2 linked regions of the Arabidopsis thaliana genome follow. The protein of the gene in region 2 interacts with the protein of the main gene of each other region in a pairwise test. Each region holds a gene or a part of one and is shown on either strand. Other genes may lie near its edges.

The links.
Region 1: the proteins of CB5-D (region 2) and SIP2;1 interact in a two-hybrid assay, tested with the Arabidopsis thaliana proteins (one large-scale study listed by BioGRID).

What each region holds. Positions count from the first base shown.
Region 1 is NC_003074.8:21,077,797-21,082,005, reverse strand, and holds SIP2;1 (small and basic intrinsic protein 2;1), read left to right. Parts: upstream 1-2,149; 5' UTR 2,150-2,361; coding exon 2,362-2,649; exon of another isoform or gene 2,650-2,831; intron 2,832-2,906; coding exon 2,907-3,167; intron 3,168-3,255; coding exon 3,256-3,416; coding exon of another isoform or gene 3,417-3,420; exon of another isoform or gene 3,421-3,522; coding exon 3,523-3,595; 3' UTR 3,596-3,709; downstream 3,710-4,209. Other genes in the region: PIP5K4 (phosphatidyl inositol monophosphate 5 kinase 4), read right to left, coding at 1-1,049; CRD1 (dicarboxylate diiron protein, putative (Crd1)), read right to left, coding at 3,737-4,000, 4,080-4,178. UniProt on the Arabidopsis thaliana protein: Water channel required to facilitate the transport of water across cell membrane. Inactive in yeast cells.
Region 2 is NC_003076.8:19,788,524-19,792,416, forward strand, and holds CB5-D (cytochrome B5), read right to left. Parts: upstream 1,850-3,893; 5' UTR 1,658-1,849; coding exon 1,571-1,657; exon of another isoform or gene 1,136-1,570; coding exon 1,069-1,135; intron 995-1,068; coding exon 726-994; 3' UTR 544-725; downstream 1-543. Other genes in the region: AT5G48800 (Phototropic-responsive NPH3 family protein), read left to right, coding at 1-480. UniProt on the Arabidopsis thaliana protein: Membrane bound hemoprotein which function as an electron carrier for several membrane bound oxygenases, including fatty acid desaturases.

The sequences.
Region 1 (4,209 bases), on a different chromosome or scaffold from region 2:
TCAGCATCCAAGTCCCTCCTCGTGGTGGAATCAATATCAGCAGCACCTTCTCCGCTTTCGGTTCCCCACATATTCATCTTCTCAAACGCTCTATCTACACCCACACTTACCCTCCCGTCAACAGACATCCTCCTCGGTTTCTCGACACGTTTGGAAGAGTTCCAAACAGATAGCTTTTTCTGTGAAGGCAACACAGGAACTCTCTCTCCGCTGCAGATCTTGTACTCACTCAGATTAGTAAACACGTCTTTAGGATCCCATTCAGGACTCCCGTCGTCTCCTGATGGATAATAAGTACCGTTCATCTCTTCCGGATCATTAGACCAATGACCAACGTAGAAACTCCCATCAGCCCATTTGAAAGTACCGTTTCCTCTAGGAAAACCGTCATCCCAAAATCCGTCGTATCTATTCCCATCCGTCCAAATAAAAGTACCTTTGCCACAGATCGTAGCGTTCTTCCATTCCCCCATGTAATAGCTCCCATCTCTCCACTGATACTTTCCTTGGGCTTCTTGCAAACCCCTCCTCCATTCACCATCATACACATCTCCATTCGCGAAACGCTTGATTCCATGTCCATGTTTCAGGTTCATCACCCACTGACCTTTATAAGTATCTCCACTAGGACCTGTGTAAAGGCCAACACCATCCATGTATCCACTTTTGAATTCGCCTTCATATGTGGCACCAGAAGGCCACCCGAACTTCCCTCTTCCCATAGTCTTCCCGTTGTACCAGTCACCAATGTACATGCAACCATCTGTCCAAAGATACTTCCCATGCCCGTGAGGAAAACTATCATACCATTGCCCTGTATAATAGTCTCCATTAGGAAGTATTCTCTCTGCATGGTACAATTCCCCTATGCTGCTTCTGTTAGTGCTGGTCTCATCATCATTCTCCTCAGTCGTAGTAGTAGCATCATCATCTGTCTGTGGAGCTACAGATACCGTCCCAAAAATGCTGTTTGCACGCTTCTTCGCTTGTTGGGTCTTTCTTACGGTCACCTCCCAAGCCTTTAGAACACAGCTTTGTTCCTTGCTCATCTTCTTAAACTAATAAAACTTTTCTCTAAGATACCTATATGTATATCCTAGAACATAAACTCAGAAAACATATTTGTTCTTGTCTAAACAACAATCCTATCAATGTACACATACACAAGAGAAAACCATGAACTCTGTGCAAAAGAAAAAACAAAGTGTAAACCTAAAACCATTAAATCAAACGCAGCATGAAGAAATCTGCAATGGTCTTTACTCTGTGACTTCCTGTCTCTATGCCATTGAATCACAAGAAAAAAGAATGTTTTTTGGTCTTTTAGAATGCAACATTTTCGGAGTGAAAGCTGATATGAACAATCATGGAAACCTAACAAAGAATCAGAGAGAGAGAAAAACCAATGGCCAAAAGAGTTAAGGGATCAAAAAAATTCTCTCCGACATTTCATCTTTTCTTGTCAATTCATCTTAACTAATTATGTCGTTCAAAGAAGAAACCGTTCATCTCCTCAAACCAATGAAAGCCTTCAAATTTAGAGAAACAAGCATGACCCATTTTTCTCTATTCTTAGCATCTCCGAGCTTTCCTCTCATAAACAAACATATTTTCTTCAGAACAAAAAAAATCGGAAAAAGTAATAATTAATCAATTTAGCCAAGACTGATAACGTCTCCAATCTGAGATCACTAAGAGCTATAATCAAAAACAGAGGTAACTGAAACTCTAACTCACTGAGGCATTCTGTCGAACACTTTAAACGCATTGCTTCTCCACTAACAAGTCACATTTTTCCGTATATTCACAACTTATTTTCAAAAGGAAAGATCCATTCCCAATGCTGAAGCTTCAAACACCATAAACGATAGAAGAGAGACAAAAGTTACAACCCAAAGCCAAGCGTGTAAAGATCAAAAGGTCATATTTTTCCTGAGGGGAAACTTCCGTCGCAGGTTAAAATTGGAGGGCTTTTTTGTAAACAATTCTTAAGAAGGCTAATTGTAGTAATTTATTTGTAATTATTAGTTAACTGTGTAAAGTAAATACTTTATCCAGTAATAACGTATCACTTTAGTTGATGTCTATTGGTTAATAGCCGAAGCTCGTTCCAAAATCGAAGAGAATCTATAATCTCATCACGACACACCAAAGCCAAAACCTTTATTGTCGGAAGCTGACTCAGACTCAAACAATGTCTCTAGCGTCAATTATATGCTAAATTCACCAGCCGCTTAGAGCCAATCATATAATCTCGATTCTCTTCAACGGTCCTCAATTATCCTAAATTCAGATCATAAAAACGCTAACTTTTAATTTCTTTCTTTCTGAGAAATTGGTTCTCATCGTTGGAATCGAAAAATGGGACGAATCGGTTTAGTAGTGACTGATCTGGTATTGTCGTTCATGTGGATATGGGCAGGAGTTCTGGTCAACATTTTAGTCCATGGAGTTCTTGGATTTAGCCGGACCGATCCTTCCGGTGAGATCGTTCGTTATCTCTTCTCTATCATCTCCATGTTCATCTTCGCCTACCTTCAACAAGCCACCAAAGGCGGGCTTTATAATCCTTTGACCGCTTTGGCTGCTGGAGTCTCCGGTGGCTTCAGCAGTTTCATCTTCTCCGTCTTCGTTCGAATCCCCGTCGAGGTTTGTTTCGTTGACTTTTTTTGGTTTAATTGAAATTGACTCTTCGTTAGAGAGAGGTCTCAGGGTTTGTGTAATGTTGTAAAATGTCAAATTAGAGAAAAAAAAGGAGAATTTAGCTGATGGGTTCTTCTTTGAAAACCAGATCATTTTGGTTATATGCTCTATTGTTTTATAAAGACTTCATCTTGAAGATCTTTTGCTCTAATGTGTAATCAAAGATGATACTATTGTGAAACTCTGGTTTTGTGTTATTTCAGGTAATAGGATCAATTCTTGCGGTTAAGCATATCATTCACGTATTCCCTGAGATTGGGAAAGGACCTAAACTAAATGTAGCAATTCACCACGGTGCTTTAACAGAAGGGATACTAACATTCTTCATTGTACTGCTCTCAATGGGACTAACAAGAAAAATCCCGGGAAGTTTCTTCATGAAGACTTGGATCGGTAGTCTTGCTAAGTTAACTCTTCATATTCTTGGCTCTGATCTTACCGGTGGATGCATGAACCCTGCAGCTGTATGTACCAAAAAAAAGTCTTGTGATTGTGATTTCAGCAAATAGCGATCTTTGTTTTGAATGTTTGCTTTTGTGTGAATCTTTGCAGGTTATGGGATGGGCTTATGCACGCGGTGAACATATAACGAAAGAGCATTTACTTGTGTATTGGCTTGGACCTGTGAAGGCTACGTTGCTTGCAGTTTGGTTCTTCAAAGTTGTGTTTAAGCCTCTCACCGAAGAACAAGAGAAACCTAAGGCCAAATCTGAGTGAGGAATGAGGAATGAGCTCAGCTTTCATATTTAATCCTCTCTGGATAAATCTCCTTTACACAAGACACAGAGGGTAGGATTGTTTCCAGGGATATTTTCGTAGATTTTGTAATGTGTTTTTTTTTTATGTTGCAAACTCAACTGTATCAACCAGTTCAATAAAATCTGAAATTTAAGTAAGTCCAATGCGCAATATGATCAAATATATGCAGTAAAAGTTTATTGCAAAAAAAAAAAGACGATGTTTCTCAGTTTCGATCATTCAATTACAAGAAATCAAGAACCAGCCGTAAACTCAAGACTTGACATTGCAGCTACTAATAGACAAGATTAGGCTCAAACTCGGCGAAATCAACAGAGCCAGACTCAACAGGAGGCATGAGATAAGCAGCCAAGATCTCAGAGGCTAAAGAAGTAACCAAAGGAATCCTCTTGAGGGTCTTGATGAAGGAAGCATCATCTGTTTCTCCTATAGCCAGCAGCTTCTCATAGCTCACAACCATTCTATCCAGTTTCCTCTTGAACTCAGGGTTCTCAACATCCAGCACCGCAGGGAATATTCTTGCCGTGGTTCGGTTTGTCTGAAACAAATCTCAACATTTTCAGAAAAAGGAACATAACACAGGTTAATATTAATCTTCTTGTTTCAAGTTCCTTTACCTCGATGATGACATGCATATCGAACTCCTTTGTGTTTAACCCGATACCCTCGTAGAAATTAGTTCTTTGGCAGTCATTGAGGTACATTGTCACATAAACCTGTAAAGCCAATCCTCTTACTGGTTAGGCC
Region 2 (3,893 bases):
TCACAAGAAGCTGGAGCACACGCTGCACAAAACGAGCGGCTTCCTCTGCAATCCATAGTTCAAGTTCTCTACTTTGAGCAACTCAAGCTTCGAAGCTCCTTGTGCTCTTCTTACTCAGACGAAGAGCCAAAGCCAAAGCAGCAACAACAGCAGTCATGGAGAATCAATAGCGGAGCTCTCAGTGCAACAATGTCCCCCAAAGACAACTATGCGTCTCTGAGGAGAGAAAACCGAGAACTGAAGCTCGAGTTAGCTAGGTTGAGAATGAGACTCAACGACCTAGAGAAAGAACATATATGTATGAAGAGAGATATGCAGAGGTCTCATTCGCGCAAATTCATGAGCAGTTTCTCAAAGAAAATGGGGAAACTTAGCTTCTTTGGGCATAGCTCTTCAAGAGGATCAAGCTCTCCATCAAAGCAGTCTTTCAGAACAGATTCAAAGGTACTGATGGAGAGAACTTGCGCAAGCACAGATTAGCTCAGTGTTTATCATTTTCTCTTACCTGTTGCTGCTTTTTAAGTGAGACTTGAGACTGGTGTGTGAGTGATATTGTAAATGGATTTGATTGATATAAGACAACAAAGGTAGATGGCTTAAAAATCAAAGGTCTATCAGTTGATTGGAATAGAGAATATAATGATGTCTTACAAGACAAACAGAGGTAGAGACAGAGTTTAACCACGTCGTACACAAGCAATTCACTTAGGCCACAATTCAATCTTTCAAGAAGAAGGAGCCTTGGTCTTAGTGTAGTACCGAATGCCGAAAGCCAAGCCTAAGATTAGAAGTGGAACAAGGAACTGAAGGAGCTTAATAACAAAATCCGAGCTCTTATCCTGAGTAGCCACGGCTTTCGTCGACGTAGGAGGCACAAACTTAGCTTTAACCGGCACAGTAGCTGTGTCAATATCACCCACATAGTACTCATCTAGCATGGCTTTCGCAGTCGAACTATGTCCCACATCCTCGAAATCATCGGTCGCATCTTTCCCTGAATACCAACAACACATTCTTGTTAACATAAACATGAACTAACAAACAGAGAAAGTGATCTCTATATGTTACCTGTAGAAGTCAAGATAACCTCATCACCACCAGGATGATCATCCAAGAACTTTGTCACATCATAAACCTATATATAACCATCAAAATGAAACACACAAAAAATGTAAACTTTGTCATATAAGTCCCTAATTCCACACAATCAGAGACCTAGATTAAGTGGGTTATCAAAAGTTCATACATCAGAACATACATGAACTACATGAACCTTACTAGCTTTAACTACAGATACAAGATCACACAGAGACATCTTAAGCAGCACCAACTATCACATTCAATTATAAAGACGTAAGTTTTTAGCAATTTCTCTGTGATTTAGACTTAGAAAAGTAACATTAATCTAGCAAATCAGATCAGATCTATCCCCAAACTTGTTACTACATAACTCTAGATTTATAAATCCAAGTCAACACAACTCAAGAATTTCGGATCTCACGAAGATAAGATGCAAAATCTAAGGGAAAACGGAAAATCGAATGAGAAACTGGGATCGGAGATGTAGGACCTTGCCGTCGATGACGATCCAACAATCCTTGGCGCTACTGTGCTGAGAAACCTCGGACAAGGTGAAAACTTTTCCGTCTCCGCCCATCTCCGATGATCTGCTGGTGACTGGTGAGAGTTGAGAAGAGGAAGAGTATTACTATTATTTGGGAATCTGTGAGTTTGGGATCTTACACCAACCGCTTTTTTGGTCTACTTAAGTTGTGTATGTCTGATCTCATCTATTGATGGGGTCGGAAATTAATCAGTGGCCAATAATCAGCAGTTAATCAAAGATTCCGTTTTCTTATATTATTTAAATGAATTTATTTTATATATTTAATTAATGTAGAAACTAAAACAATTTATAATGTTACAAAGAAAAAATGTTATAAAAAATCTTAGTATTGTATGTTTTTCCTTAAAATAAAATAAATGTTTTTAGTAATTCATGTTAGCTGATAATGTTTCTACTAAAATCATGTTAGCTTATTGATTTCCATGATGCTTATAATGTTTATACTAAAATCATGTTAGCTTTATGTACATCAATTTAGATAAAATCCAAACGTTTGGTGGTTTCGCCCTCTTAGACGTATGATCAATCGTGTAGACGGCTAGATGTTAGGGTAGACCATTCTAATTGGGCCCAACCATTCACTCGGTCCACAAGATCCGGATCTTTTCTTCAGTTGTCGATAGTATTTAGTTTTTTCATGAACTATAGCAATATGGACACGATGATTCATGGGAGGAAAGATATGGGGTTGTCTTCTTTAAAACTTGATGGCGCTTAAGATAAAAACAGTCAAAGAGACTTGTCGGAAGGCCAGTGTAACGAAAGCAGTGTGGTTTTAGTTATAGGCTAAATTGAATATGAATAATTGATCATAGGCCCAGTTTGTTGGTTTATGATTTTAGAAAGAATTGATAAGAGAAGGAGAATGTTTTGAGGTTGGAACTCTCCGACAGATAAATATGATGGGAAGAATTATTCACGGTCGTATATTTTGACAAGGGACCAACGGAAAGGAGAGCAGTTGCATGCATCACTCGTCTTTACACTATTTAGAAAGAAAATGAATCTTGTTTAGTGATTCATTTTAAAAAGTTTTTCTATGTGAACCTCATTCGCTAGAAGTAGTTTAAATGTATTTGCCTTAATCCGATCTTAGAACTGGATATTTGATATTTCTGTAATCAGTTCGAATGTATCTAACTATAGGGCTAAAACACCGACTGTATAGTTCTTTCGACATATATAGAGTGTGTACTTTGCTTAATGGAACCATAGGCATGTTAAACGAGAGCATTTAATGTTGAAATTCACTTCTTTTTTCAATGCATGTTTTGACTCACATTGCAAGGCCTATGGTTGGTGTTCAACGAGAGAAAGAAACTATACATGACAAGTTAAAGACATTTATTTTGAAGGACTAACCCAAAAGGAGAACGAAAGAGAGCTAGAGAAGAAGAAACAAAAAGACAAAAAGGCTTTCGTAATCAGTGCTCTTCCTTTTTGGCTTTTTACTACCAAATAGTTTAAAAGAGTCAAACAAAACATCGAACAAGCTGAATTCAGATACCCCATTGGTCACACAGTTGATGTAAGCGAATCTATATGTCCCAAAAAACATGATTTTTATAGTCAGTGAGCCCGTGATCAAACAAGCACCCGTGTACATACGTACACCATGTCCATATGTATAAATGTATAATATAATGAATGTATCTGAACGTTTCATGCATTCACTTTTTCACTTTTAGAGATTAAAGAAAAACATAGAACAATGATTGGGTTCGAGATAAGATTTCACAGTTTCATCACACTGGTTTTGCCAATTTCCAAGAAATGTAAAAAAAAAGATAAAACAACAGAGATCTTCTCAATGAACACTGTCTCATCTTTTTGTCAGTTTCTTGTTAATAATAATTTGATATTCAAGATTCAAAACACTCTTATCTCTTTACTAATTAGTACAAAATTCACCTTTGTGTTTGTACTTTTAACTCTGAACTTACATTACAGTATTTCAATGTAAACGTCAAAGTATTTACACACACATTCACGTGCGTCATAATTATGGTAAGAGAAGAAAAGGGACCAATCTTGTATAGTTGAAAGAAAAAGGATATGATTCAGATTTTTACACCTACCAAAATTCACACGTGAACCTCTCAATTGGGTCTCTTTCTTCTGCATCTGAATCATTTTTTTCACTATATGCCAAGCTTAAACATGTTCACACACATCCCTCTCAATCATCATCATTACATATAGCTTTGAATAAACATGAGAGATAGATAGAAAAACAAACACTTGAAAGAAACAGATGAGAAAATTT